Cricetulus griseus: one gene and its partners. The protein of the gene in region 1 purifies or fractionates together with the protein of each later gene. This does not show direct contact. Links are inferred from orthologs where the notes say so. Each region holds a gene or a part of one and is shown on either strand. Other genes may lie near its edges.

Evidence for each region.
Region 2: the proteins of Ppp1cc (region 1) and Plcl2 purify together in Homo sapiens (affinity purification with mass spectrometry; 3 studies listed by BioGRID and IntAct, counting the BioPlex papers as one, with this or other methods). This does not show direct contact. The link is inferred for Cricetulus griseus from reciprocal best matches to the Homo sapiens genes PPP1CC and PLCL2.
Region 3: the proteins of Ppp1cc (region 1) and Rassf7 purify together in Homo sapiens (affinity purification with mass spectrometry; 4 studies listed by BioGRID and IntAct, counting the BioPlex papers as one, with this or other methods). This does not show direct contact. The link is inferred for Cricetulus griseus from reciprocal best matches to the Homo sapiens genes PPP1CC and RASSF7.
Region 4: the proteins of Ppp1cc (region 1) and Wbp11 purify together in Homo sapiens (affinity purification with mass spectrometry; 4 studies listed by BioGRID and IntAct, counting the BioPlex papers as one, with this or other methods). This does not show direct contact. The link is inferred for Cricetulus griseus from reciprocal best matches to the Homo sapiens genes PPP1CC and WBP11.
Region 5: the proteins of Ppp1cc (region 1) and Tanc2 purify together in Homo sapiens (affinity purification with mass spectrometry; 3 studies listed by BioGRID and IntAct, counting the BioPlex papers as one, with this or other methods). This does not show direct contact. The link is inferred for Cricetulus griseus from reciprocal best matches to the Homo sapiens genes PPP1CC and TANC2.
Region 6: the proteins of Ppp1cc (region 1) and Pfdn2 purify together in Homo sapiens (affinity purification with mass spectrometry; 4 studies listed by BioGRID and IntAct, with this or other methods). This does not show direct contact. The link is inferred for Cricetulus griseus from reciprocal best matches to the Homo sapiens genes PPP1CC and PFDN2.
Region 7: the proteins of Ppp1cc (region 1) and Rassf8 purify together in Homo sapiens (affinity purification with mass spectrometry; 3 studies listed by BioGRID and IntAct, counting the BioPlex papers as one, with this or other methods). This does not show direct contact. The link is inferred for Cricetulus griseus from reciprocal best matches to the Homo sapiens genes PPP1CC and RASSF8.

Annotation. Positions count from the first base shown.
Region 1 is NC_048597.1:102,022,847-102,026,346, reverse strand, and holds part of Ppp1cc (serine/threonine-protein phosphatase PP1-gamma catalytic subunit), read right to left. Parts: intron 1,947-3,500; coding exon 1,842-1,946; intron 1,125-1,841; coding exon 901-1,124; intron 708-900; coding exon 573-707; intron 1-572. UniProt on the Homo sapiens protein: Protein phosphatase that associates with over 200 regulatory proteins to form highly specific holoenzymes which dephosphorylate hundreds of biological targets.
Region 2 is NW_023276806.1:252,582,684-252,586,183, forward strand, and holds part of Plcl2 (inactive phospholipase C-like protein 2), read right to left. Parts: intron 2,163-3,500; coding exon 1-2,162. UniProt on the Homo sapiens protein: May play an role in the regulation of Ins(1,4,5)P3 around the endoplasmic reticulum.
Region 3 is NC_048596.1:59,964,269-59,968,551, forward strand, and holds the start of Rassf7 (ras association domain-containing protein 7), read right to left. Parts: upstream 2,801-4,283; 5' UTR 2,712-2,800; exon of another isoform or gene 1,953-2,711; 5' UTR 1,946-1,952; coding exon 1,822-1,945; intron 1,661-1,821; coding exon 948-1,660; intron 772-947; coding exon 643-771; intron 567-642; coding exon 372-566; 3' UTR 1-371. UniProt on the Homo sapiens protein: Negatively regulates stress-induced JNK activation and apoptosis by promoting MAP2K7 phosphorylation and inhibiting its ability to activate JNK.
Region 4 is NC_048601.1:12,199,008-12,203,225, reverse strand, and holds the start of Wbp11 (WW domain-binding protein 11), read right to left. Parts: upstream 2,801-4,218; 5' UTR 2,635-2,800; intron 666-2,634; 5' UTR 609-665; coding exon 545-608; intron 32-544; coding exon 1-31. UniProt on the Homo sapiens protein: Activates pre-mRNA splicing. May inhibit PP1 phosphatase activity.
Region 5 is NC_048600.1:118,854,338-118,857,837, reverse strand, and holds part of Tanc2 (protein TANC2), read right to left. Parts: intron 1,563-3,500; coding exon 1,387-1,562; intron 1,125-1,386; coding exon 992-1,124; intron 459-991; coding exon 429-458; intron 1-428. UniProt on the Homo sapiens protein: Scaffolding protein in the dendritic spines which acts as immobile postsynaptic posts able to recruit KIF1A-driven dense core vesicles to dendritic spines.
Region 6 is NC_048598.1:21,547,853-21,551,965, forward strand, and holds the start of Pfdn2 (prefoldin subunit 2), read right to left. Parts: upstream 2,801-4,113; 5' UTR 2,746-2,800; coding exon 2,671-2,745; intron 1-2,670. Other genes in the region: Nit1 (deaminated glutathione amidase), read left to right, coding at 3,241-3,242, 3,455-3,550, 3,921-4,113. UniProt on the Homo sapiens protein: Binds specifically to cytosolic chaperonin (c-CPN) and transfers target proteins to it. Binds to nascent polypeptide chain and promotes folding in an environment in which there are many competing pathways for nonnative proteins.
Region 7 is NC_048601.1:3,906,481-3,910,413, forward strand, and holds the start of Rassf8 (ras association domain-containing protein 8), read right to left. Parts: upstream 2,801-3,933; 5' UTR 2,653-2,800; intron 1-2,652.

The DNA of each region.
Region 1 (3,500 bases):
CCTTGGGGAGTTCTGTGGAAGGCAGAGTCTGCAGTCTGGGGGTGGGGTGGGGTGTGTGTGCTTTGGGCTGCCTCAGGACTTCCATGGCTACACTGACATTCACAGCTGAGTGACCTACTACACTGAATGTGAGAAACAGCCCAACCCCAACAACTGGAGATGATATTCTGGCAAAGGAGCCCCATGTGGTGGCACATATCACCTCTAGCCTCAGCGCTCAGGAGGCAGAGGCAGGTAGGTCTGTCTATTAAGTTAGAGGCCAGCCTGGTCTACATATGGAGTTCTGGGCCAGCAAGGGCTACATAGACTGTTCCAAAAAAGCCATCTGCAGACCCCAAAGCACTATCTATAAATTGATGATGCAACACATCATTTGCTTTCACTTCTCAAAGAATTCAACTACACCTAAATTCAACACTGGGGAAAGGTCCTGTTATTTTTCCTTCCTTTGGAAAGAGCCTGCAAGGACTCCCATGGGACAAACACAGGTCACTGGAGAAGAAAACAGTCCACCCAGGAAACAACAGGGAGCGCTGTTTCTCTGGAGTCATGAAAAGCCGCCACTGTCTCACCTGGAAGGAGCACATGAGGGTTTCATCCACACTCATCATGGCGCCTGCATTGTCAAACTCGCCACAGTAGTTGGGTGCAGAAAACAGAGTGACTAACTGCCTCTTTGCAAAAAACTCATACCCATCTTCAACCACCTGCGGAAAGACAGTGTCAGTGTGAGTGGCTGCAGGCTGAGCTGTGCCGCTCTCGTTCCCCACTGAGCTTGGCCTCCTGCCGCTCTCCCCAGAGGCACACTGTGTGGCAAGCCATACCTACCCACCAAAATCAACAAGGAGAACCTGCTCACACACATGCTCTAAGTGTACATGTAAAATTCAAAATCAATACCTGATGGGCTCTACATATAAGATCCAAATCATGCTTATGGAGAAATTTTGCAACCACTTCTGCACCAAATGTGAAGGACACTCCTCTGTCATTTTCACCCCAGCCTAAGACATCTTTATCGGGGTCAGACCACAAAAGATCACAAAGAAGACCTTGATCTGGTACATCAGTTGGTCTCATAATTCGCCGAATCTGCTCCATAGATTGAAGATCTGGTGATAAACCTATTCAAGGAGACAGGAAAGAACACTGAAGAAGCAGAATTGTTAGAAGAGGCTGTCTGCAGAGGCTGCTGCTGCCAACAGCTGCACTCAAACCTGTGGCTCTTCTGTTTACTTGGTTTTGATCAAAACAATGCAATAAAACTCTGCCACCAAATATGCACAAAATTTACTGTACTGGTGTGCAAGGCACAGGGACAGTCACCTCAACACAGAGCACTGTGAAGTCAACATTCAGTACCCTGAATCCACACCTCTCCCGACAGAGGGCAGCAAGGTGGACACACCAGGTGCCACCATCAGTCACCACATGCAATGGCTGGGCCCAGGGACATCGTTCAACTGTGAGGCAGCTCCAGAGCCTCTGCTGTCCACAACCTCCAAATCTACAGAGGACACAGAGTAGACTGTGCCTTAATAAAGCCTGTGGTTTTGATAGCTGCTTAATTTCCAGTATCATCGCCTTGCAATTTCTGTATACCTCACACACAGCATAGCCATGAAGCAAAGCAAAACCACTTTTGGAAGGAACCCCAGTCAGAAGGTCCAAGAAAACACACAGCTGAGCAGACATACTAGGGTTCATTTTATATTAAAAATACGACCTATTTTCAACCTGCCCTCACACTTGACCCAACTGACAGCTGCTATGTCCCCATGGACAAGTCCTAGCGCATGCACAACAGTCTACCTTTTAGAAGGGGTGGAAATTACACATACCTCCATGACAGCAGAAAATCTTCTCATCCACGATGGCTGCTATCGGTAAGCAGTTAAAACAGTCTGTGAACGTTTTCCACAGCTTAATGTTGTATCTTCTTTTGCCTGTAAGAATGCAGATGGTCACCCTACTGTTCAAGTAACTGAAACATGCTATAGCATTAAGAGGCCTTGCAGCCTCAGGAGGGCTGGGGTACAGGACACCTGGAGCTGGTTTATCCAGAGGCAACAATAATACATTCCCATACAGGGATTATTCTAGCCAGGGGACACCTCAGGTCGGCCACAATTAGTGGGAGCACCCATTCTATTCGAAGCCTCATCTGCTTTGTCTAATCTTGACCTAGAGGGAACTTCAGGGAATCCTGAAGACAATTACCGCCACATCCTCAAGTGCCATCATCTCTTCCTTTAGGGACTTGAGCTCTGGCACTCGCTGCAACCAGACAACCAGACAGAACCAAAACCCCTACTTCAGGAGGTCCAGGGACTCTGGGCATGCAGCTAGCTTAGCGTGGGCACAGGGATGTTCAATCCTATCAGTTAGTTCTCACTTACCCACCACCCCAGAGAATCAAGGCTACAGGGTTATGCCCCCTCCACAAATGTCAGGGGGTCCCCCTTAAGCACCATTCTGTGTGATAATTATGTTTTGAATTACCCCCCCCCAAAAAAAGAAAAGAAAAGCTGGGTGGTGGTGGCGCACGCCTTTAGTCCCAGCACTCGGGAGGCAGAGGCAGGCAGATCTCTGTGAGTTCGAGACCAGCCTGGTCTACAAGAGCTAGTTCCAGGACAGCCTCCAAAGCCACAGAGAAACCCTGTCTTGAAAAATGGGGGGGGGGGAGATATGATTAAAAACCCCATTCACAAGTCTTAGCAACTATCAAATTCTCTTAATTGGCTAAGGTCACAGACTCTACCTTTTTTAATGGGACACAGGGACATCTAAAGGTCTAGACTCACTCCTTGGAGTCACAGCAGGGCCTAACTACAGCTTTCCCAATCCATGTTTCCAGGCTGGGCAAACCACACTCCCTCCCTGTAGAGGCCTGGACTCTCCCCGGAGACACAGATTCCTTGGATAATTCTGGAAACTTAAAGGAACACAGCCAACACCTCCAATTACCAGAGGCTAAAGGTACTAACATCAATGTTCAGACTGAGGCCAGATGGCCCTGACCCCACTTCAAAATCCATCTGGAGTTGGGCATTGGTGGTGCACACCTTTAATCCCAGCACAGGCGGATCTCTGTGAGTTCGAGGCCAGCCTGGTCTACAAAGGGGTTCTAGGACAGCCTCCAAAGCAATACAGAGAAACCCTGTCTCGAAAAACCAAACCAAACAAACAAACAAAATCCATCTGGTCCTGTTCTCCTTTCTCGGCTGAACCTGGCGTCTGGGCAGTCACTCACTGCCTTTGCTGAGGGCTGGATTAAGGTTCTGTGTCTGAGGTGAGAAGACCCATGCTGAGTGCCCAGGCTTCCTGCAGCATTCTAGGACACATGGCCAACCCTCTACAGACTACATGACTTTACTACAAACCGCTGCATGTGTGTGCCACATGAGCAATGCTAAGTCACCAGAGTCCCTTAAACACCTGCCACTCTAGCCCAAACCCCCATGGCAGAAACAGACCAAGGATAGTGCAGCCAACAGCTC
Region 2 (3,500 bases), on another chromosome or scaffold:
ACGAAGCGCACCATGGCCAGTTCAGGGAGGTTGATTTGAAATTCAAAGCTTTCATCAAAAATGGGTGCATCTCCATTCTGGTTCACAGTTTTTGTCCTTTGCTCTGCACAGTCAGCAGGGATTCCGTGGATTTCCACATAGACATAAGGATCCACGACATCACCTTTGGCACCTGATCCTTTGGGCTTGGGAAAATTCTGGCCACTGATTATTTTGATGTGAAGCAACTGAGGTGAAACTCCAGGGACAGAGTCCTTTGTGTTGGCACTGAAGAAGGAGACTTCCTCCCTCATGATGGCTGGTCGGAGAACATAGCCACAGTTTCCATTCTGCCGAAACCATCCAATGTTCAGGTCCATCATCAGTCCTGGAGTCTGAAAGTTCATGGCTACAATTTGACACCCACATTTCCAAAAATCTTGAGGGTTCATGTTACTAGAGTCAATTCTCATTGGACTAGGAAAGACCCGGGCAAGAAAACGCTTATTGTAATTTACAAAGTCCCCGGGGTTCTCATTGGCATATTTGCTAGCAAGCACTTCATTAAAGGAACACACTTCCCAGTACTTCTGCACCTGAAACGACACCTGAAATTCCTTGAACTGGACTGACTTACAGATGCTGACCAGCTCAGACAGTTCTTTGCAAAGCTGAAAGCGCTTCACAGGCAGCTGGTTGGGCTGTTCCACAATCTCCTTCCCCATCCTCTGAGACATCTCTGCCCCTTCATCTTCATCAGTCACATCCCCTTCCACTCCGGAGCAATTTGAAGACAGCTTCTTTGCTTTGATTAGTATTTTCCCTTTCAGGACGTCTGGGGATGGAAGATACGACTCTTCCATGTTGGGTGATGTTGTATACAGCTTGTCTCCTAAAATTTTCTTCATGTGCTGAACCATCACTTTCTGTTGTTTAATAGAACAGTGATTTTCTAAACATAAGATGAGCGGATACTCAGATGCAAAGAACGCATACTTGTTAATAATATCGATGACACTGCGGAAGACTATCTGGGAGGTCATGGTATGGCCCGTGTAAATCACAGGCTCATTATCTGGCCCATCCCACACATCTAATTCTACACTCCTGCAGCCCATCTTAAGGGCGCGGATGTACCCTGTGATGTCAGAGGGGCCCCGGAACTGGTCCTCTATCAAATATGTGTTATGAGAGGAGTTTATAAAGTAATGAGACAGCGGCTGTTTCATATCCTGACAGACCTTCTTATGCTCTGGGTCAAATATGTAACAGTCAGGTGACATCAGGTAATTAGTGAACCCATCTATGGAGAGGCACCCCTTCTCCTGACCTTCTTTGGATGGCTCATATTTGTGAATAATTTCAAGGCTTATCTCCTCATTTATATGTGCTACACCCTGTTCTGCCTCAAGAAACATCATAAGGTCCTTGGTATCAAGGAATTCTTTATTGCTTGAAAACTGAACTAAAAGGAAGTAAATTTCAGGTCTAGTACAAAGTTCATGAAAAACCTCAATAAATTCTTCTTTTGTGACTTCAGTGCCAGCTTTATCCTTTGATTTGTGCAATTCTTTGAACTTAAGCTCAATTCTGCTTGTTTTTAAACCAGGGTTGAGGTTTCTGATACATTGCACAGCATTACACAGAGTTATATGTCCAAGGTCATCTACATCAATTTCACTAAACATTTGTGAAACCCAAGAAGTCCTCATGTTGTCCTGGCTACTTTCTAACATATCGAGTGTATGTTTCCCATAAGAAATCAGGTATCGGAGTCCTGTCACCCAGATGTTCGCAACATCTGCAGAATTGGCAACCAAATCAAGTGATTCATAATTCTCTCCATATATGACTGAAAATGCACAATCCTCAGATATCTGCTCAGAAATGCCATTGCTGCGGAATATATCTGTGTTTTTCCCCGTTCTCACTTCTTTGATAGATTTGATATCAATCTTGGCTTTCTCAGAATCCTTCTTAGATGGCTCCCACCTCAGGCTTTGCATGTCGGCATCCAGCAAAAAATACCGATGATAAATCCTGGAGTTGGAACGAACCTTTTTGAGTTCCGAACCTTCAACCATTGAGTTGATGCAGTCACTAGCGCTGCTGATCTTCTTCTCTGTGGGCATGCTGCTGAATGACACCGTCTTCTTCCGCTCTCTCTTCTGTTTCGTGCCATCCTGGGGGGAGAAAAGTGTGTTAGCATAACAGAAACACAGGTGTTTGTGGTCAGATGGAATTAAATTTGAACTCCCTGAAAACAACATGTACTATGATATCCTGCTCTGACTCTTGTGATGAATGACGATGTTCATCTTTAAAGCTCAGAAGAGGCCTTGGAGACTTAGGTCTAATGCCAACAGGCAAGAAAATACTACTAATAACTGTATGCATGCTTGTCAAGGCATCTCAGTCACAGACAGCAGAGACTGTTTACAGACCTGGCTACACAATTTTCAGAAAATACAGGACTACTTTGCACACAAAATACCAAGAATTCCACGGCATCAAGAGAAGAACATTGAGCCAACCACAGCACCCATGTATGTGTGGGGCCTTTACACCTACAGAGCTCTTGTACCCATGCGGACACACACCTGCATCAGTGTTTCCTATGGGCTTAGCACTACAAGCCCCCAAATTATCCAGCTTACTTGGTAAAATGCAGATTCCTGAGTCTTTGGAATCAGATCTCTAGGAATGGGGGCAGGGATCTGTATTTAGGCAGCATCCCAAGGCTGGGTGCAGAGACCAAAGCCTGAAAGACATTTTCTAACCACATGGGTTCACTCATTTTAGCTTTCAACTCTATACATGACCAGGCCAGGAGTGGCTAAGCATGAACCCACAAAGTGTATGTTAAATGGATAGACATGGATTCCTGGCCCTTTACAGTATCACAATAGGCTAATCATGGTTCTGTAAACTTCAGGTACACACAGATTACTGTTAGTCATGTTGGGCATGCTTACAGATTACAGCTGGGACACATCTAAAACCATAGAGTTGGAGTTATTAAAACCTGCTGCTGTGCGTCATCATGCTACTGCCCAGGAGCCTCCAATATAAATATGGGTTATAGTGCTACCCACAGAAAGCTTCAGGGAGCACCCATTTCTTTCATTTTTTAAAATTTTGATGGATTTATTTATTTATTTTGCAGATTTTTTTTATTTGAATTAGAAATAAGATTGTTTTACATGCCAATCCCAGTTCCCTTCTCTTCTACCACTCGCCCCCCCCCCAACTAAAACCCTACCTATCACATATCCTTTTTGCTCTCCCTGTGTTGGAAGCCAAATCTCAGGGCTTGGCATGAGATCCTAGGCCATACTTGGCAGGCCACATAGTTAACCTTTACACAGCAGCTCTTTAGAACCTCAGCTAAAGAAAAGAAACAACTTGACCCAGTCCTCTACCTACAGACTCAGTCACCTAGGCAACCCCTTGTTGGATTTCTTACTCATGAATTCTTTACCCTGCCAAACATCCTCTTTGTGGCTTCCTAATATCCTGCC
Region 3 (4,283 bases), on another chromosome or scaffold:
GTAGTTTATTGAGGTTTGTCAGGGCAAGAAGGCATCATATATTCAGTGGAGTCAATAGCAGGCGCACACCCCCCTCCACAGGATGAATGTACTGTCCACACTTCTCTCTCCTCCAGTAAGTAGTGGCCTTTGGGGCCTGGTAAGTTCTGAGCTTTGCCCATTGCTTCTTCAGGGGACTTGGGAGACTTGAAAAAGACTAGGACAACATGTCCACTAGCACTCCTGCCCCCTGAAGCAGAAACCCCAGGACATCATAGCTTTTCCCACTTTAGGGAAAGAATTCCGTGATCATGCTCGCCCATTGTCCAGGTGGCTCATCCCAGCTGTGCTGGCTCATCTGTATTCAGTGTTCCCTACTTGAGCAGGAAGTGCTACCTCCAGGAGCTCTGCCTCATGGGGGGAACTGTGAGAAAGACACAGGCTGAATGGGCTGATACCAGAGCTGGTCCCTTCCCATGGATTGGGGATAGGGGTAGGGAGAGAAACATACCCTCTGGACTCAGGCTGGACACTAGAATATGGCTCTGGGGGACTCCCTGGAGGGGCTCATCTCTGGTTGGAAGGTCCTGTGGAGAAAACAGGTCAGTTGAGAACTAGGGTGGCCCCCGCCTGACCATCACCTCTTCCCAGAACTACTCTGACCTGTGGGCTCGGGATGGTTCTGTCCAGCTGTGGAGGTGGTGGCACTGCAGCACCTGTCTGCTGGATGAACTGTTGCAGGTTGCACTGACGGAGTTCCCTGTTCAGCTCCTCCAGTTCCTGAGCCTGAGCCTGGGGGCACACAGGACCTTCAGGAACAAGGCGATGACCTTCTTTCCCACAGACAACATGCTCCCTGGTCTGATTCTATATCAAACCCCAAAGTGCCTGTGCAGCAGGTGGAGTGCTGACAAACTGGCTGTGTAGCAGGCAGGGAGTTGACAGGGGCGTAGGTCTCCTGGGCTCACCTGCAGAGCATGCTCAGCAGCCTCCAGAGCCCGGCTCACCAGGGCCAAGGTGCCTTGCATCTCCATACTATGCCGCTCCTGGATGGCCAGGTCCTGGCGTAGACGCTCAGTAGCAGATGCTGTAGCTGAAGGAGGGCCAGGGGCCTCAGCAGCCAGCCGAAGCTCTGCCTCCAGGGCACAGGCTTGGGCATCTAGGGCCTCCAGCCGGGCAGCATGCTCAGCAGTAGCTGCACTCAGCGCTTGCAGGCGTGCCTGTCCCTCACGCTCCCTGGCTTGTTCTCGTCGGAGCTCCTGCTCCCAGAAGGCCTCATGGCCCAGCTCCTCAGCATTCCTTTGTATCCTGAGTTCTAGGCCCTGCAGGTCTGCAAAGCAGTCTGGTGTGGGTCCTACCAGGGTTGTAGACTCAGGGATTGAGGAGCTGGGGACCAGTTTGGGACATCCTGGGTTGAAGGTCAGTGCTTTGTGTGGCTCACGGCCTGGTGCTGCCCATGGTTTGGGGGGCAGGCTGGCCCGAACTGGGCATCGTTCTGGGGGTGGACAGTTGTCTGAGGAGGGCCTTCCAGACAGGCTGGGCCCTGTCCGCCTCAGGACAAACTGGACATCACTGGCAAACTGTCCACAGGTGGCTTGGGCTCCCACTGGACACTCCTGTGGCAGCAGCTGCCGCTCCTTCTCCCTAAGGCGCTGCACAAGAACAAAGCGGCCTGTCTGGCCTGTGGGGGGAAAGACAGGGTCAGCCTATATCTCCCCTCTCTATCCACTTGGCTTGAGGACTAGAGCAAAAGGGTGGAGTCAACCCCACCCTCCTTGGAAGGGAAGATGGGGCTGGACTACGGCCCCACCGGTTTAGCTTCTCTGTCCCCAGGGAACTCACCTATAGCTTGGGCTAGCGCGATGACCACTTCTTGGCAGGTGGTCTGTTCTGAGACCCCACAGACCACCCGCTGGATGCCATCCACCCACACCTTCAGCTCCATGACCACAAGCTCCAAGACCATCCCTGTCCTGTGGGAAGGACAGAGACCCTAAGATCAGGACAGGCCTGCCTCCATCATGGCCTGGCCTTCCTCTTCTCTTAGCTTGCCACAACAACTGGCTCAGGACTGTGTCCCTTCAGCCCTGCCCTCCTGTGCCCAGCCCCACCCGCAGGCCACACATTCCTGGAGTGGCTGGGGAACTAGTTTGGCCCTCTTGAGCATTTTGAGGCGTCCCCTCCTGCACCAGCCTCCTCTTGCCCCACCCACCCCACTCCAGGAACAGGGCGAATCATTAACCAGGTCCAGGTTTTCCTGTCCCCCGGTCACCTGGCTCAAAGGCCACCACCCTTTTCATGCGAGCGGCCATCCCCAGGCACCTAACACCGAGCAAACGCAAATACGACGCCGTCCACAGTCATGGGAACGCCCCCTAGGGAAGGAACCCCTTGGGCCAGGAGGAGCTGAGAGTTAAGACCCAAACAGACCTCCATCTCCCAACCGACCCCAGATCTGAGCAGCCCCCCGCCAGTCCCCGGTCCGCCTCCGCAGTCCCTCCCGTCTAGTCAGCGCTCTGGGCTCCGGTGGTCCCGCCCCGCTGGGGGCACAGCCCGCCTCACGGCTGATCCCGGCCGCGCGGGATCCAGACGTCCCACTCCGCAGCCGGCAGACGCAGGTGCAGCACAGCCACCGCGCTTCCCTTCGCCCAGATCAGCTTCTCCTCTGTCGGAGACAGCTCCCTGGTGCCGCGCCCAGGGCTCAGGAAGCTCGAGAAGCCGGCACAACTCACCTGGGCGCCCGCCGGCCTCCCGGACTTAGGCGCTCCAGCGCCGCCTCAACCTGCTGTCCCAGCGCCGCGGCGCGCCCAACCTCACGGCCTCATTGGCTCCCGGTCCGCGCGCCCCGCCCCACGGTACCCCATTAGATCGGAGGCGCGTGCCTCCCGCCCCATGCCCACTGCCATTGGCGGCCTTTCTCCCACCACGCCCCATTGGCTCGTTAATCCGTCCCGCCCCGGAGCCATCCAGGTGTAGGCGGGGCCCTGAGTGGGCAGGGGCAGGACCGGGGCGCATGGGATGCTCACTGCTGATGATCAACACGGAAGCGCGTCTGCAGCTGCGTTCGCTCTGGGCTGGTTGGCCCAGGTGAGGTGTGTCCCCAGCTACAGAACGGACTTCCTCAACAGATTTTCAGTGTGACTGGTCTCCGCCCACCGAGAGGGCTCCTGACTGGAACCCTGCAACTCTGACTTGTCCCCGGGCGCAACATTCGCCCTCCCTTCATCAGCCCTGTAGGCTACGCCTCTTCAGTCCTGCTCCCTTAGCAATCTGTAGCCGAGAACACCGGGAGGAGAGGCCACGAGTGTCTCCCGCCCGCAATCCGACGGAGGTGGGGTTTAGGGGCCGGCTGACCTGATGGGCGCTGCAGCCCTGGTGGGGGAAGGGACCGTCCCTGAGGCCTGCCTGAGACAAAGACCCTGGGGTCTTTGTTTGAAGCGCCTTACTCTCCCCTCCCCCAATGGGCCCAGTGCCTTCCAGAGCAGCCCTTCTCTCCCTGAAGTGGGCCCCTGCTTTAACGTCTAACCTGTGTCTCGGGTGGGCTAAATCAAGCCAGTCCAGCCCCAAGTGGTCTGTCCCAATCACAGAGAGCTGTGGGAGCTGGTCCCCATGCCCTTGTGGCTGTGGACGAGACAAGGTAGAAGGAGCCTCTCCTGGACCTCACATGTTCTGAAGGAGAAGCAATGTCCTCCAGGGTTCCCTATTGGAACCACCATTGGAAAGAGCCCAGAGTTATGGAGATAGGCACAGGAAGATAGGCTTCCAAGGGTTAGGTAGATGGCTGTCATACACAGGCTCATTTATTGGCCAGGGTTAGTACAGCCACTCCAGTCTCTTTAGCACCATCCTCACCTGCTCACCAGCTCAGATCCCTAGAACCTTTTACATACTTAAGACACACATACATGCTGAATTCACTCGCAGGACACCAATCCCCAGTACCTACTGGCTAGGGACAGGTTCCAGGGATCTGTATAGTTCCTTGGATCCCTTCAGCTTTGCTGGGCAGGTAGTAACCTAGCTTACATATCCAAACCACACCGGCACAGAATGCACTCATGACCCTGAGTGTTGTCTTCCTGGAGGCTCCTGGTAACAGATACCCTCCCCCTCCCCCACCCCCAGGTGCAGAAATCCATGGCAACAATATAGAACACATCCCTCCCTAGGCCTTCTGTGGGTTTAGGCCTCAGGTGAGTATGGGGGTGAGTTCCTGGGTTGGAGGGACATGAATAAGAGTTACAGGAAAAGTTTAGCACCTCTGATCTTATCTCTAGGCTCAGGTCATGAGGGACAAAGAGGAG
Region 4 (4,218 bases), on another chromosome or scaffold:
TTCTTCAATTCTCTTTTCCGGGCTTCCTTTCCTAAAGAGAGGGAAAGAGACCATATACCTCAAATCTTCAACATTAACATTACCACAAGACAGCACACACTTTTTTCTTCTGAGGCTCCCCTATGCAACACCTGGATATGCACTGGCATCGGTGGCTTCGACCTGCAGACAACTGCACAACTGCAGCACTTCTAACCCTAAGAACTCCAGATGCTAAAATGTTTCTTTTCACAGAAATAACTGAACCAATGAGAAAAAGAGATTCTCAAATACCAAACTAGCGCTTAAAACTCATTTGTTTAAAAATTCCAACACAAAAAGAAAAACAATCCAATTTTATCCTGCAAGCCAACAAAGCTTGACAAGAACATGGTTTTAACTGATGTACACTCTCAACATTTTAGTCATGTGAGTTAATTTTAAGAATTCAACATGACTTCACACAACTCCCTTCTACCAATGCTGAACTTGCTTAAGCCTCGGGGAAATATTCTTTGCAGTTTTTAACTCTTCAACGTCATCATTTCACACTAATGGCACTTACGAGCTTGGTCTGTGGGGTTCATAAACTTCCCACTCTTGGTGGAGGATGTTGATCTCCGTCCCATGTTGACAATTTATATGATTTACTTCTTCATTAAAGAAACAAAACAAAAAAACGAAACCTGGAAAAAGAAAAGAACTCAGTTTTCCTGTATGTTTAACATGTCTTCCTTTTTAGAATTCCCATCAATTTCTGGAAATACCCCTCTGATTATTAATTTTGTAAGAACTTGTTCTTTGCCGGACGTTGGTGGCACATGCCTTTAATCCCAGCACTTGAGAGGCAGAGGCAGGTGGATCTCTGTGAGTTCGAAGCCAGCTTGGTTTCCAGAGCAAAGGCCAGGATAGGCTCCAAAGCTACACAGAGAAACCTTGTCTCGAAAAAAAACAAACAAACAAAAAACAAAACAAAACAAAAAAAGAACTTGCTCTTTAATTTTGAACATATAATATGGCTTTACCTTTCTTCATCACAGAAAAGCTAACATCTGTACAGTCAAGGCAACGAGACACATGAACTCTCCACATTTAACACTCTGCTATGGATTATGTAGCACTGTCAACTGAAAAAAAATTCAACTAGGAGTTTGCACTTGGAATGTGGACTGGGCCATAAAAGACTATCTCAAAACAAAACCCAACTAGAAAATGTTTTAATAATGTGATACAAACCTGGAGTGTAAGAAGTCAACAGTTCATTTCCTACACCCTTCCCCCTTTATATATAAGGTGAAGTCAAAGAGAAGTAGTGATAATGACTCTAGGCTCAAAGACAAATATATGTTCTCTACTTTTCTCCTTGGCATAGGCACTGTTCATTCAAAACCCCACAGATGGTAAAAGGTAATTAATTTAAACATACTTAATTTAGACTCAATACCAAGTCAAATATGACTCATGACTTTCAAGCAAAAAAAAAATGAATAGAACTTCCCAATCTTAATATTAACATACATACTTTTCTTACTAACACATATGACTCTTGATTTATTTTAAGGTAACTAAAAGTGGCAGGTCACTGTAGGAAAATAATTTCAAAGCTTGTATTAGTATCAGTTCTTCTATTCAAAATGGATGAATGTTAACTTTAAAATTTAACCTTTCCAATAATACAGTAAAGAAATGTTAGCCGTTGAAACGATGTGACATTTGGCTACAGGTATTCCCCCTTTGCACACCCAACCAGTCGACTTTCTTTCTTAAAAAAGACACCTTTGAAGGTAGGGAATAGGTAGATCCCGAGACAACTTTAACAGACTCCCACAATTGTAATTCCCTTGGCTCCTCTGTGAAGACTTCGTAGGGTTTTTTTTCTGTTTGTTTTGTTTTGTTTTTCTTTCTAGTTAATGCTTCTCTCACCAAGGGATCAACTGCCCGGAGACTATTTCACTATAAAAACGTTTCGTTATCCGAAAAGAGGAGGGGCAGGATGATGGGGAGAGGAAGGGAAAAGAAGGGCATTGATTATAGAGAACTAGAAGAAAGGAAGAAAGGAAGGAAGGAAGAAAGCAAGCAAGCAGGCACGGATACAGACTTCTATAGCTTTCTATTTTATATATTCGGGTTCACCTTTTGACCTTTTTTTTAATTTTTCTTTGCCCCCTCCCACAACTGAAAACACGGCAGCCGCGAGCCGCTGAGAATTTTTCCGAGACCGCACGGTCTTGGTCTACAAGCGCGACTCTCGTCAGCGCAGGGGCGCCCGGGAGAGGACGGGGCCGCGGGCCCCCGACAGCGCAGGAGCCGGGGCCGCTCGCCCGCCCGCTGGCCCGCTCGCCCGCAGGCCGCCGCCGCCGCAACCGCCGAAACCATGGCGACGGTTGATACCGACTCGAGCGGCCGCACGTCAAGCCAAGCGGCCGGCCGCCGCCAACGGGAAGCGGACCAACGCAGCGGGCGGGCCGCGCCCGGCCGAGCGCCCGTCGGCCGCCGCAGCACCCCGGCCCCGGAGCCCTCCCGCCCGCGGCTCCCGCGACCCCGGCCCGGCCCGGCGGGGGGAAGAGCGCGGCCCCCGGCGCTGGGGTCTGAAGCGGCTGCGCGGGCCCCGGAGGCCGTGGCGGGAGCCGCAGCGTCGCGACCGCGCACACTTACGCCACTGCGGGGCTCCCGGGTCGGCCAGGCCGGGTAGCGGGCGGTGCCGGCGTGCTTTGGGCGGCGGGGCCTTCACCTCTGCCTCTCGGTCAACCACCCAGCCACCGCCATCTTGAAACCTCGCGCCCCTCCGCCATCCTCGCGTCACTTCCGGCACCCGCGGCCGACGCTCTCACCGCGTTGCCCAGGCCCGGGGACTATCGAGAGGACACAGCGTCGTCGGGGCCAGAGTTGCTTCCGCTCCGATCCCACGTCCGATTGGCTGTCTGTCGGCCAAGAACGCCACCCCCTCCCCCGCCCCCGCCCCCTCCCGCCTCACTCCGAAGCGTCGTAGATTGACACTGGTGTCGCCCAATGAGAACCAAAGAGGGAAGGTGCCCGTTGATTGGCCGATCGCTTTACCCCGCTCGGAATTCTGACGCGGTTTCCGTTCTGCGCAGACGTCAGGTAGCGGCGCGTCGCCCGGGCGGAGCCGCGTGTTGCTTGGTTTCTGTCCCCCGCGGTGTGCTGGGGTGTGACTGGGTGCTGTCCTTCGGGAAAGCCTCCGCGGGGAGACAAGTTCCCGGATGGACGCCACGGGCGCCGAGTTTAAAGCGCCCGGCGCTCCCGGAAACCCAGCCTGTGCCGCGCCGAGCACAAAAGTCATTTCCTAGCGAGAGTCACTCATTTGTCATCTACACACGGGAAACAAAAATGTCCTGGGAGAGAAACCGGGTGCGCGCCGCAGATGTCCCCGGAGAAGGCGGCACGTGACGCTCCCGCTCCGGGGCTGCTCGTCCTTTGTGATGTCACTGCACCCACGGAATGATTTCCCCGTCGTCTGCGTCCTTCCTCTCCCTTCACACCCCGACCCTTAAGAGCCTCCCCACCCTCTCTTTCCCCCTTCAAGGAGAGACACTGGCTATGAGATCTCCGTAAAGCGCGCGCGTGGTGGTTTTTCAGCTTCATCTGAGGACCCTGCGCAGACAAAAGTTATAAGAGGGATTTTTTGACATCAGGTATTTCACAGCTATTGGTAGAGGCGTCTGCCCATGGGTAGAATGTTTTACGTTGTGGCCCCGGACGCTGTGGCATCAGTCGCATACTTAGTCTAAGCTTTGTTGCGGCCCAAAGAAAAAGTTAAATTTTGAGACAGGCCCCTTAGGAATCCCCGACTTGCTTATTCCATCAGTAGACCTCCATCTCCCCATCCTTCTGCCTCGTTGTCTTGACTGATGAAGTTAACGGGCATGAGCCATCACACACCTGGGTGTCGTATTAAAAATCCCTGGTGTCTTCTTAAATTTGATTACTCTGTGAGTGTCAGCAATAGCAAGATCTAATGGTTCAAAACTTACAAATCAGGTAGTAATAATAATAATAGTGAAAAACCCTGAAGGTGACCCAAGTTGTGAGAAGTTGAAACTAATTCATAAAAGCAGCGATTACAAAAAAAAAAAAAAAGTACATTTGAAAGAGTCATGTGGCTAGTTAAAATTTTTCATCTACTTGTAAGATTTTTGACAGATACTGAGTATTTTATTTCAACAACTTTTTTTTTGTACTCAAAAAAACAAAGCAACTATAACAAGGACATTCTCAGCA
Region 5 (3,500 bases), on another chromosome or scaffold:
TTTGACTTAATTTTGAAGTGTGCACTCTGTAGAAGGGAAACCCCAATAAAGACTCTAAAGGCTCCCTTAGAGCTAAGTACCAAATAGGACTCCCTGGGATTCACTTGGAACCTGGGGCACAACTCAAGTGTCAATAGATATGAAACAAACAAGCATTAGTAAGGACTACTTTACTCATGGAAGAAAAGAATAAAGTTAAATTGATTAGTTAACTGAGGACTGAATTATTTACCAACTAAGCTTTTTAGGGTTAGTTATCAAAAGTTCAAGTTATTCTCTGCAACAGTCATTAAAAAAATCTTCTTTTAAGGTGAAGTAAATTAAAAGATTAGAGGTGTAGGGAACTCATGCAGGCTAAATCAAAGAGGAGAAGGCAAAGCTGACCAAGCCATCAGACCACGCCTGATGCTGACAGCGGGGGAATATACCTCGTGGGCGACTCGGTAACGTCTGACAACCTTCAAAGAAAGGAGAAAACAAAAAGTTGTAGGAGAGGAAAAAAAAATGGATGAAGGTGAAAAAAAAAAAAGAAGAAGGAAAAAGCAGCAGTGAGAGGCAGGCAGCAAAAAGCCAGCACATCAGCCAGCCCTTGTCTACAGTCTGTGGGGGAGGGGGGAGCAGCTGGGGTGGCAGCAGCAGGGGCTTGAGAGTTTGAAGCACATACAGAGCAAGGAAAAGCAAAGGCTTACAGCACTGCAGCGAGCCAGGATGCTCTCAGGGTGGGACTAGAGCAGAGGCAGCACCAAGATGTGCATAAGCTCAGTGCAGCCTCCTGGCTAAGGCTACAAAGGGCAGGGGAGAGAGTCATGTGACTCTCGACATAGGTTTCTACAGACTATGGTACTCTCTCTGGGCCAGTAGCCTTTGTTCACTTGGAAGGTAATTGGATCAGGGCAGAGGGAAAACTATATAAATTTACACCAAACACCCAGGGCAGCCAGACCACTGGCCCCTGGGCACAGATGGTCACTACCATCTTTCCTTCTCTTACCTATTTTGGCTCCTTTCTTCAGTAGAGTGACTACAACGGAAGTGTTCCTGCAACCCACTGCCCTATCCAAAGGACGCATCCCACTGTAGTCAACATGCTCAATCATGGCCCCATGATCCACCAGGAACTGGACCTAAGCAAGGAACAAGCAGCACTGTTAACAGGCACAATGGATACAGCTTGCCCCTTTTCAAACTGCCTGTCTGAACCAGAGTATAAAAATCACTTCAGGTTTTCAGTAATGGTTTGTATATTTCTGTCCTCCACCAATTATAGATTTGGAGAATCTATGCTGGAATCATCGAAATAGTACTTCACATTAGGTCCTAGATAGTATTACTGATGAATAACATCCCCTGTCCTTACTCTCCTGGGGTCTGTTTAAAGGTACTCACCACCTCAGCATCGCCATAGAAAGCTGCCAGGTCCAGTGGGGTGCGGCCATTCTTGTCAGCATGATCTGTAGCAGCTCCATTATCCACCAGAGAACGTACTACTGAGAGATGGCCCTTCAAACAAGCCCAGCTAAGGGCTGTCAACCCTTCTTTGTCCATTAGGGCAATAGAGGCACCTATAAGAACCAATGGGAGTCCCGTGTTAACAGGACTGAAGACACAAACATCTGTAGCAGAAAGGAATGCTGATACATAAGGTATATATGCTGTGAAAGACATATATAGCTTTTACTTCTAGATTTTTCTATTTTGAGATTGACCCTGGCTGGCCATGATGACACACACCAGTAATCCCAGAAGTAGGGAGGAGCAAGCAGGAAGATCATGAGTTTGAGGCTAGTTTGGGCTACAGAGTGAGCTCAAGATCTGTCTGAGCTACATCTTCATCTCCTGAGTGCTGTGATTACAGGTGTGTGCCAGCCCAGTTTGTGTGGTACTGGGGATTGAACCTAGAGCTTTGTGTATGCTAGGCAAACACTCTGCCAGCTGAACTTTATTTCCAAGCCCCAAATTACAACTTACTTAAAAAAAATTAAAAACACGTAAATGTTCCTATTCTATAGTATTCTACACATAATGTAGGCTAAATAATTTTTGTTGACTTAGTGAAAATTCACTTCAGTGAAAAAAACAAACAAAAAACCAAATAAAATACCCAAAGAAAATATAAAAGGAACCAGTTCAAAGACCCTGGGTAAGGCAGAACAAACCTCTGGAGTCTATGCCTAATGAGTGTCTACTGGCATGTGGCAGATATGGTAGTTACCTAAGGGTCATCAGTGCTGAAGAGGCCCTGCCTTTTCTGTTGGATATAGTTTGTTCCGGAATATTGCTTCATGTCACATCTTAAGAATCTAGGTCTACTCCCTCTGAGTACTCCCTCTGAGTGCTGCCCCCCCCCCCAGCAATAATAAAGATAGGTAACATGAAGTCAGACTTGTTTGGTAACTTGGCAAGAGTTACATTGTACCCTGGAAGAGCAACTCTTGATTTACACCTTTGAGTCTGTGGCTGTGGAAACAAATCTTCCTTGAAGGGACAGAGCTGAAGAAGCCACAGCAAATCTCTTAGGAGAAGCCTAGCCTTCCTGATCCTTGGCTGTTCAGGTCTGGGCACAGTTCTTCAGAGGCTGGTTTCCCTTGAAGGAACGTGCATATATGTATAGATAATTATATGTATTTAAGTCTGGTTTATTAACAGTGTAGGCTAACTGGAATGATGTCATTCATGATTTCAAATCTCCTCACTACCCCCTGCTTGATGCAAATCCACAGGCTCCCACTAGATGGTGCTGTAGTGCCACCAATGATGAGCCATTTCTTACTATGACGGCTTGGGACACCACTACTGCATAGGGGCTGATCTTAGAGCAGTCAGCAGGAGCTGGGATGCTTTAACATTGTTCACCTGCAGGGAAAAATACACTAGCCTCATAGAGGGAACCTCCTTTAACTTGTTTCCCATTTACCAAGGATGGGAGTATGTTGAAAAATGCCACAAGGAATTTATTATAACTTAGTAGTAATATCCCAATTCTCCAAAGAGGGTCTCATTGCTAGCAAGTCTTCTTTTTACCTCCTTTGGATTCAAGAAAAATATTACCTGTGCAGGCTGACAAATTGATACCCAGATTCACCTGGTGTGTTGGTATACTCCTTTATTTTTTTAGAAGATTTTATTTATTATGTATACAGCACTCTGCTTCCATGTATATCTGCACACCAGAAGAGGGTACCAGCTCTCATAATGGATGGTTGTGAGCCACCATGTGGTTGCTGGGAATTGAACTTAGGACCTCTGGAAGAGCAGCGGGTGCTCTTAACCTCTTTGCCATCTCTCCAGCCCCTGTATACACCTTTAAATTCCAACACTTGGCAGGAAGAGGCAGGTGGATCTGTGTGAGTCTGAGGCTAGCTTGGTCTACAAAACACATTCCAGGGCTACATAGTGAGACCCCCCCCCCCCCCACACCACCACAACTACCACCAGCAGCAAATCAGCCTCTAAAATAGATGAATATTTACTGGGTATACATTAAAAAAATTGAAGTTTGG
Region 6 (4,113 bases), on another chromosome or scaffold:
CCAACAAACCCATAGATGTGGAGCTGCCCAGCATTTTAGAGGCCCAATCCCTGCCCCAGGGTTTCCAAATGGCACATGGAGAAAAATTGTTATAGAATTGTAAGACAATGCCTGCTCTCTTGGAATCAGACTTAAGGCTTGTTTTACACACACACACACACACACACACACACACCCACCCACCCACCCACCCACCCCCACCTACCTTTCTGGCCTACTTCTCTCTTTGCCTGCCTCTGCATTACATGCTGGAAGGAGATGAGCTACTTTTCCCTGCACAAACGACCCTGGAATCTTGAGTTAGTACTGGAACAAATTAAGACTCTGGGGACTATTGGGGCAGAATAATCGTATTTTGCATTGTAAGGGCACAAGTTTTGGGACTAAGGGGTATAAAGCTATGTTTTAGTAGGGTTTGTCCTCTCCAAAACACACATTGAACTTTGACTGTCAAGTGACAGGGATTTTTCTTATCTTTTTGAGACAGAATCTCATGTAACCCACACTCAAATTTACTTTGAGTAGATGAACTTGAACTCCTAATTCTCTTGCCTCTACATCTCTCTCAAATACAGGGACTGGTCTACAGAGCTAGTTCCAGGACAGCCAGGGCTACACAAAGAAACTATGTCCTGAAACAAAATAACAAAAACAAACAAAAAAACTGTTTAGATTATGTGCATGTTTGTGTGTCTGTGTGATAGCATGTGCACTCAAGTGGAGTTGCCTTGGAGGCCAGAACAGGGCGTTGGATTCCCTTGAGCCAAGGTGATGGGGAATTGTGAGACAAGCAACATGGATGGGTGCTGGGAATCAAACTTGGGCCTCTGCAAAAGCCATCTCAAGGGGCCTTTACCAGCATTTATTTGTTTGTTTGTTTGTTTTCTTCAAAACAGGATTTCTCTGTATAGTCTTGGCTGTCCTGAAACTAAACTAGCTCTGCAGACCAAGCTGGCCTTGAACTCAAGAGATCCTCCTGCCTCTGCCTCCCAAGTGCTAAGACAAAATGGTGCACCACCATCACCAAGCCCATAAAATAATTTTTTTTAAAACTCTCATTGTTTTATTTGTCTTTCTGTCATGTTTGTTTTTACAACTGTTTCACTCTGTAGCCCAGGCTTAGCCTGGAATGGACATGGTAATCCAGCCGGATTACAGGTATGAGCCATCACACTCGGCTGTCTTGTATTTCTAGGGATCTTTGACCAAGTTGAAGATAAGGTCTGTTTCATTTACCAGTTTCTCTGTGTTCAGCAGAGCCTAACACAAGACAGACCCTCAATAAAAGTATTAGCCACTATATTGGAGGCTACCTCCAAATTTCAATGCATTTTACTTCTCTTAGAACACTTATTTTCTGCCTCGAAGTAGAATTATGAAAATCCCCCTTTTGTCCCAATAGATATGCTCTTTGATAGGGCAGGTTTTAAACTCTTTATTCGGCTACCTTTACCTGACTGTACTGAGTGTTCAACAATTAATTAACACCCTCCCATGTCCTACACTTCAGGGCTCTCCCATTTGGCCCACTAAGCTATATCCCTAGCCTCAATTCTTTTCATTTCAATTGTGTGGTTTTTTTTTCCTTCTACTATCGATTAAATACTAGTCCCACGATTAACAAGGCACGGTTCTCATACCACAAAGGGCTTTCTGATTAGTCAGACATATCCCGATGTATTGGGGTGGGGGCAAACTTAGATTAGAAAAGGGTTTCCGGTCTCTTCTAAAAAGTCAATCTCCACTCCGAGAACACAGTGAGCGAGTTCGAGGCCAACCTGGGCTACTTAGTGAGATCATGTCTCAAAAGACCAAACAATCCTGGCCCGGCTTAGTGACACAGGCTATTAATCTCAGAATTCGAGAGGCAGGAGCAGGGACAAGCGGATCTCTTGAGTTCCAGGCCAGCCTGGTCTACACTGTGTATTTCAGAAAAGTCAAGACTGCATAGAGCGACCCCGTCGCAACTTCCACCCCCGACCCCAAGGCCAACCAACCATCAAACAAACCAAACTAAACCACAAAGCCAATCTACTAAAGACTCCTTAGTTAAAATAGTTACAGAAGGCCGGGCGTTGGTGGCTCACACCTTTAATCCCAGCACTCGGGAGGCAGAGGCAGGCGGATCTCTGTGAGTTCGAGGCCAGACTGGTCTCCAGAGCGAGTGCCAGGATAGGCTCCAAAGCTACAGAGAAACCCTGTCCCGAAAAACCAGAAAAAAAATAGTTACAGAAGACTGAAGCGGTCGAGTCTGAGTCACGTGGTTTTGCAGCGCGTGGGCGATGGTGAGCGCGGTTTTAGAGTCACAGACTAAACAATTCCCCGACTAATAACCTCTGGGGTTCGTTACTAGATGCAACGCCGAAGCAGGCCCGCCTCCCAGTAGCTCGGAGACGGGGGAAACGACGACCCCATCACCTTGGGGCCCTGGACACCCTCCCAGCTCCCGCAGCTCAGGGCTTTCCCACTGGGCTCCCGCTGCAGCCTGCGGACGTGGCTCTCCTCTGCACACCCACCTCCGCATGCCCTAGCAGGGGTCGTGATCGCCTCCCTCCGCGAGTGCGACACGGAGAACGTGGAAAGGGCTGAGGGCCGGTACAAGCCACAGACCCCGTTTCCTGCACGAACTCGACACCGGCCGAGCTGCCCTCGGCGCTCGCGGATGCTCACCTGTTCGGCCGACACCGCCCCCTTCCCGGTGCTGCTCCCGCTGCTCTTGCTCACACGACCGCTGCTGTCCGCCATCTTCGCCACCTGCGAGCTTTCCGGCCTGCGCACTCCCACTGCGTCACATCCGGTCTGGTAGTTACCACCCACTTGCCCCTGCGCTTCTGGCTCCAGGAAGCTCCTCTGGTCGACCCTGCGAATGGTTTTGGCGGTGGCTTCATGTAGGACCTACTCCCCAACCCTGCCCGCTGCGGTGAATTCCACCTACGGTGCTTTAACTTGTGCAACAGAGATTCTTGCCCCAGGGAGAGGCGGGGAAGGGCGCGCTAATCAGAGGGCGGGGTCCAGGGTTGGGATCTGGTCCGGAGCCCCCTGCCCACCTCGAGATGGTGGCGATCTAGGGAGAGTGAACTTGCCTTTCGAGATACTGCTGTAAGGGGAGAGATACGCGTTGAGCCTATAAAGCTGTGCAGGTGGCACAGCCGAGAAGAGAGAATTGGGGAAGCGAGGAAGGTTCCATGAGATGACTTGAACCGCGGAAACGTTTGGCAGAGGAAAGGGGCTTCAGTTTTAATGTGAGATCACTGGAAGTTGAGGTATTGAGGCTCGGATCAGTCTCCTCTCCCATGTTTCCCTTTTACGACCTCTTTCCACAGCTAATCGTGTGGGGGGATGTTTTTGAAGCCTTGGGGGAGGGGATTACTGGCCAGGCCTGGAAATGACAGAGAATTCTAGAAACATACTACTTGAAGGAAGGTTAGGTGTCCTGATTTTTCACCCTCTTCAGGCTGGGCTTCATCACCAGGCCTCCTCGCCAACTCCTGTCCCTTTTGTGTACCGGAAACAGATTGCCTCGAATCTCGGTACTTTGTACTCAGCCCAGGTAACATATTTTCTTGTTCTCTGCCTGGCACATTGCCGCTCAATCCGTGTTTATAACTGCAGTGTGGGGAGACAAAGTTGTCTGCCACCCACCAAACATTTAATAAGTGAACACCAGTAGCTCTGGGGTTATTATGCTCTGAAAGAATGGAAAGAAGTCACTAGGGATGGTGGGACACACCTGTAATCTCAGCACTTGGGAAGCAGGCAGCAGTTTAAGGTCATCCTCAGCTACATAACAAGACCTGGCTGGGCTACAAAACACCCTGTCTCAAAAAAGAAAAACATCTAGGTCTGTGGCCCCATCCCACTTGAGCCTCTGGGTTTCTCCGTGCTAGCAAATCTGAGAACACTGCCCGTGCTATTCACAGGCCCAGAGCTATGGAGGTGTCCTCCTCAACTTCCTGGGAGCTGCCCCTGGTGGCTGTGTGCCAGGTAACATCAACACCAAACAAGCAAGAGAACTTTAAAACATGTGCTGAGCTGGTTCTAGAGGCGGCCAGACTGGGTGCTTGCCTGGCTTTTCTGCCTGAGGCATTTGACTTCATTGCACGAAATCCTGCC
Region 7 (3,933 bases), on another chromosome or scaffold:
TGTTACTGCCCTCAAGGAAGGAAGTGGGGGTAGGAGGGTAGGGGGTTGTGTTTAAACACTACAATGGACCAATGGACGGCCACCAAGTAAGCTCTGGGGACATGGGAGATGCTGCCACTGTTGACAGAGATGTGCCCGGCACTTGGGAGGTGCTCTGCTCGTAGCTTTCCTGTTAGCGGTGGTAACGCGTTTTAAAGGCTGTGAATACAGATCACAGAACCAGAGGAGCAGGGCACATCCTTAAATCCCTGACAAGCCTGGCTAGCTGCTACAAAAGGTATCTCTTCCAGTCCACAGAACACTAGGGAACGGGAATTCCGGAATTCCGAAACCTACTTAGGACTGGAACAAAGTAACCTCCAAGGAAAGTGAGTAGCTGGCTCATTATTTACATTTCCTAATGTTTCATCTCCATGAGGCAGCCCCACCTCACCTCCACCTAGAAGGAAATCTCCCAAGTTTTGAATACTTGCAAGTTATCTGGGTCTCCTCAATGTTTTTTTGTTTTGGTTTTTTGTTTTTTTGTTTTTTTGTTTTTTTGGTTTTTCGAGACAGGGTTTCTCTGTGTAGCTTTGGAGCCTATCTTGGCACTCGCTCTGGAGACCAGGCTGGCCTCGAACTCACAGAGATCCGCCTGCCTCTGTCTCTCAAGTGCTGGAATTAAAGGCGTGCGCCACCAACGCCCAGCTCCTTCTCAACGTTTTATAAATTGACAAAACCATCTGCCAAAAATTAACTACAAGGAAAAAGAACAATGATATCCTGCAGTAAACAACAATTTTACTCCCAAGTTATTATATACAACAGCAAAAGACTCAGTAAGAAACAGGATACTCTGAAGAATTAATCATTTCTCAGAATGCCAGGCATTCAGATCAAGCACTAATACACCCCTCTGAATACAAAGGGCCATGAAAACCAAGCACCAAGGATTCCAAATTTAAGAGTCACAAGCTTAAAAAAAAAAAAATTGAAAAGGCAAAGAAGATGCAAAGAAAAATGACACCACGATCCTATAGGATTTTAAATCTGCAATTTCCAAATATCTCTAAAACCTGCACAATCTGGGAACTGTGACCACTGAAATGACTTGGACACCTCTGTAACTGTGTTTCTCTCCAGGACACTGACACTAACTGAAAACCTTTCCTAGGTGCACAGTCCCATGGCTTGGCTCCCTACAGGGACTCTCTACCGTCCCCCCAAGCACCAGAAGCCCAGAATAGGGGCTTGATCACCTACAAAGATCTCATCCATTATGGCCAATTGAATCTAGTTCGGAAAGTACCATCTAAAAACGCTTAGGGGGAGGGGCAAATGACTGATTGTTGAAAAGATTTAATCACCTTCATTGCAAATTACGCTGTGTTGCCTCTGACCCTTCAGACCCACAGGTAGAAGAATTATCAAACTGCATCCAGTCTTCTTAAATGGAGTACCGGTCGTGTGTAACTTTGAGGTTTGGGGGAAGTTCCCCGTGGATTTAAGTAAGATCAGAAAAACCACTCATATGACCACTAAAAAAGATATAGCATAAACCACTTCCCAAACTGAGCGTGCAGTTTTGTCCGGAGCCCTGATTCCTGTGTTCACCAGCACCTCCCCCTGCAGCGAACTGACAGACATTAGGGACAGCCTCAAGCAAAGGATAGGTTTAAAAAAAACAAAAAACAAAAAGCACACACCAGGAAACCTGCCGGTTCTTAGCCTCCATAGCACGATCCAAACCCCTGGCAACCACAGATGAAAGACTTCTAAAAAAGAAAAACTACCTTAACACCCCCTCACACACACCTACACACACACATACAGCCTACAACTGAGCAGAGGTCTCTTAGGTTTTAAATGCTTCCCTGGAACAAAACAGATGTCATGAAAAATCTCTGCGCCCCAATCTACGGTAAGTCCCTAAGTGTTCGTCCCTGCTGTCAGCGGGCTGGAGAGTTTTTTTTTTTTTTTCTTTTCACGCCAGGCTTTGATGTGTTGGCAGGGCTGACCTCACACGCTCAAGTGTGTTGCGCCCCGCATATTTCCTCCTAGACCTCCGAAGATTAGGACCATCGCTGACCTGCAATTATGTCCCAAGTAGTGGTCCGGCAACCCGGGGCGGGCGGGCGGGCGGCTCGGCGGTGCAGAGACGACGCAACCCCAGCCGCAAGCCGGTCTCCGCCGCCCACCGCCGGGCCGCCCGCAGCGGCCTCGCACGCCAAGCCCACGACCCCTCAAGTTGAGCCTCCCCGGGCCGGGCCCTGGGCGAGTTTGCGGGGTACAGGACGCGGCGAACTTTGCAAGCCCCCTCCCGGCGGGCGGCTCGGTTCCCCGGAGGGGCTGGCCACCCGGGACGGAGGGAGGGAGGCTGCGCGACGAGGCCAGGCGGCCCCGGTTCGGACAAAATGCAGAAGCCTGCCAACCGCCACTTTCCCCTTCCAGAGGGAAGGCTCTCCCTCCGGGCGAGCATCCGATTCCCGTCTGAGAGCTCAGGGGACGGCCAAGGGCCGGCCATGCATTTCCCTTCCCCGCAAAAGTGGCCTCTAAACTCGCTCGCCAAGGACACCGGGGAGAGGCGACCCCGGCGGGCAGCGCCAACTTGGGGGCGCGGGCGCGGGGTGACAGCGGGGCCGCGGGGGCGCGGGCCGGGAAAGTTGTACTTACTGCGCGTCGCAGCCCGTCCCGCCGCCCGGGTGCACGGCCCGCGGCGGAGGCCCGGCCCGGCCCTGGCTGAGCGGCGGCGGCGGCCCAGGCGGCCCCGCGGCGACCCGGCGGCGGAGAGCGAGCGGCGGGGCCGGGGCTGAGGAGGCCCGGGCCGCAGGGCGGCGCGCGCGGAGGGCTGAGCCGGCGGGCGGAGGAGACGCGAGGGAGGGCGCACGCCGGCCTGGCCGGGGCGGGAGGCGGTGCACAGCGGCGCAGAGGAGGAAGGGAGGGCGGGACCACGGGGGCCCGCCGAGCCCCGCAGAGGGGCGGGATGAGGGCGGCGAGCACGGGCCGGGGAGGCCGCTCCGGGCCCGGAGGGCAGGCCGAGGGCCTAGGGGCGGGGCGAGGCCTAGGAGGCGGGGCGGAGGGCCTGGGGGCGGGGCGGAGGGCCTGGAGGCGGGGCCGATGGCCAGGGAGGCGGGGCCGGAGGGTCTAGGGGCGGGGCGGAGGGCCTGGAAGGCGGAACGGAGGTTCTAGGGCGGGGGGGCCTGGGAGGCGAGGCGGGGGGCCTGGGAAGCGGGGCGGAGGGTCTAGGGGCGGGCGGAGGGCCTGGGAGGCGGGACGGAGGGTCTAGGGGCGGGGCGGAGGGCCTGGGAGGCGGGGCGAGAGGTCAGGGAGACGGAACGGAGGGTCTAGGGGCGGGGCAGACGATCTGGGAGGCGTGGTGGAAGATCTGGGGGCGGGACAAAGGCCTGGGAGGCGGGGCCGAGGACCAGGAAGGGCGGGCCGAGGGCCGGGGAGGCGGGCCGAGGGCCGGTGTCCCCGCCCCTTCTCTGGGTCGCGGGCTGCGGGCCAGCAGCAGGGTTAGCCCCTCACCCGCTCGGGTTACAGCCGCCTCCCCCGCCCGCGGACACCGTAGGGGACTGCGCAGCGAGGCATTGTGGGAGGCGCTGGGGCCTGAGGGCCTGAGCCTTCTGAGGTAGCCTTGCCTGCGGTCCCTCGCTGGCTTCTGGCTTCGGGGCCGCCCGCGGGAGGGATCCGCTGGGCCTGGGGACAGGAGAGGCGGAAGGAACGGCCGGCGCTCTCCCGGGACTGGCTGGAGCGGCCCTCCCTGGGGAGCAGCTGTGATGGGGTGTCTGTCCTCCCTGACAGCCCGCGGAAACATCCAATGTCACAGAGGTGTAGGGAGGGCGGGGCCCACTGGAAAGGCCCAGGCAAGGGACGGTCACAGGTTCCAGGCCAGCCTAGGCTACGGGCTACGGGGCCCCAATGAGAAAAGAACCCATTCTCCAAGGGCGCGTT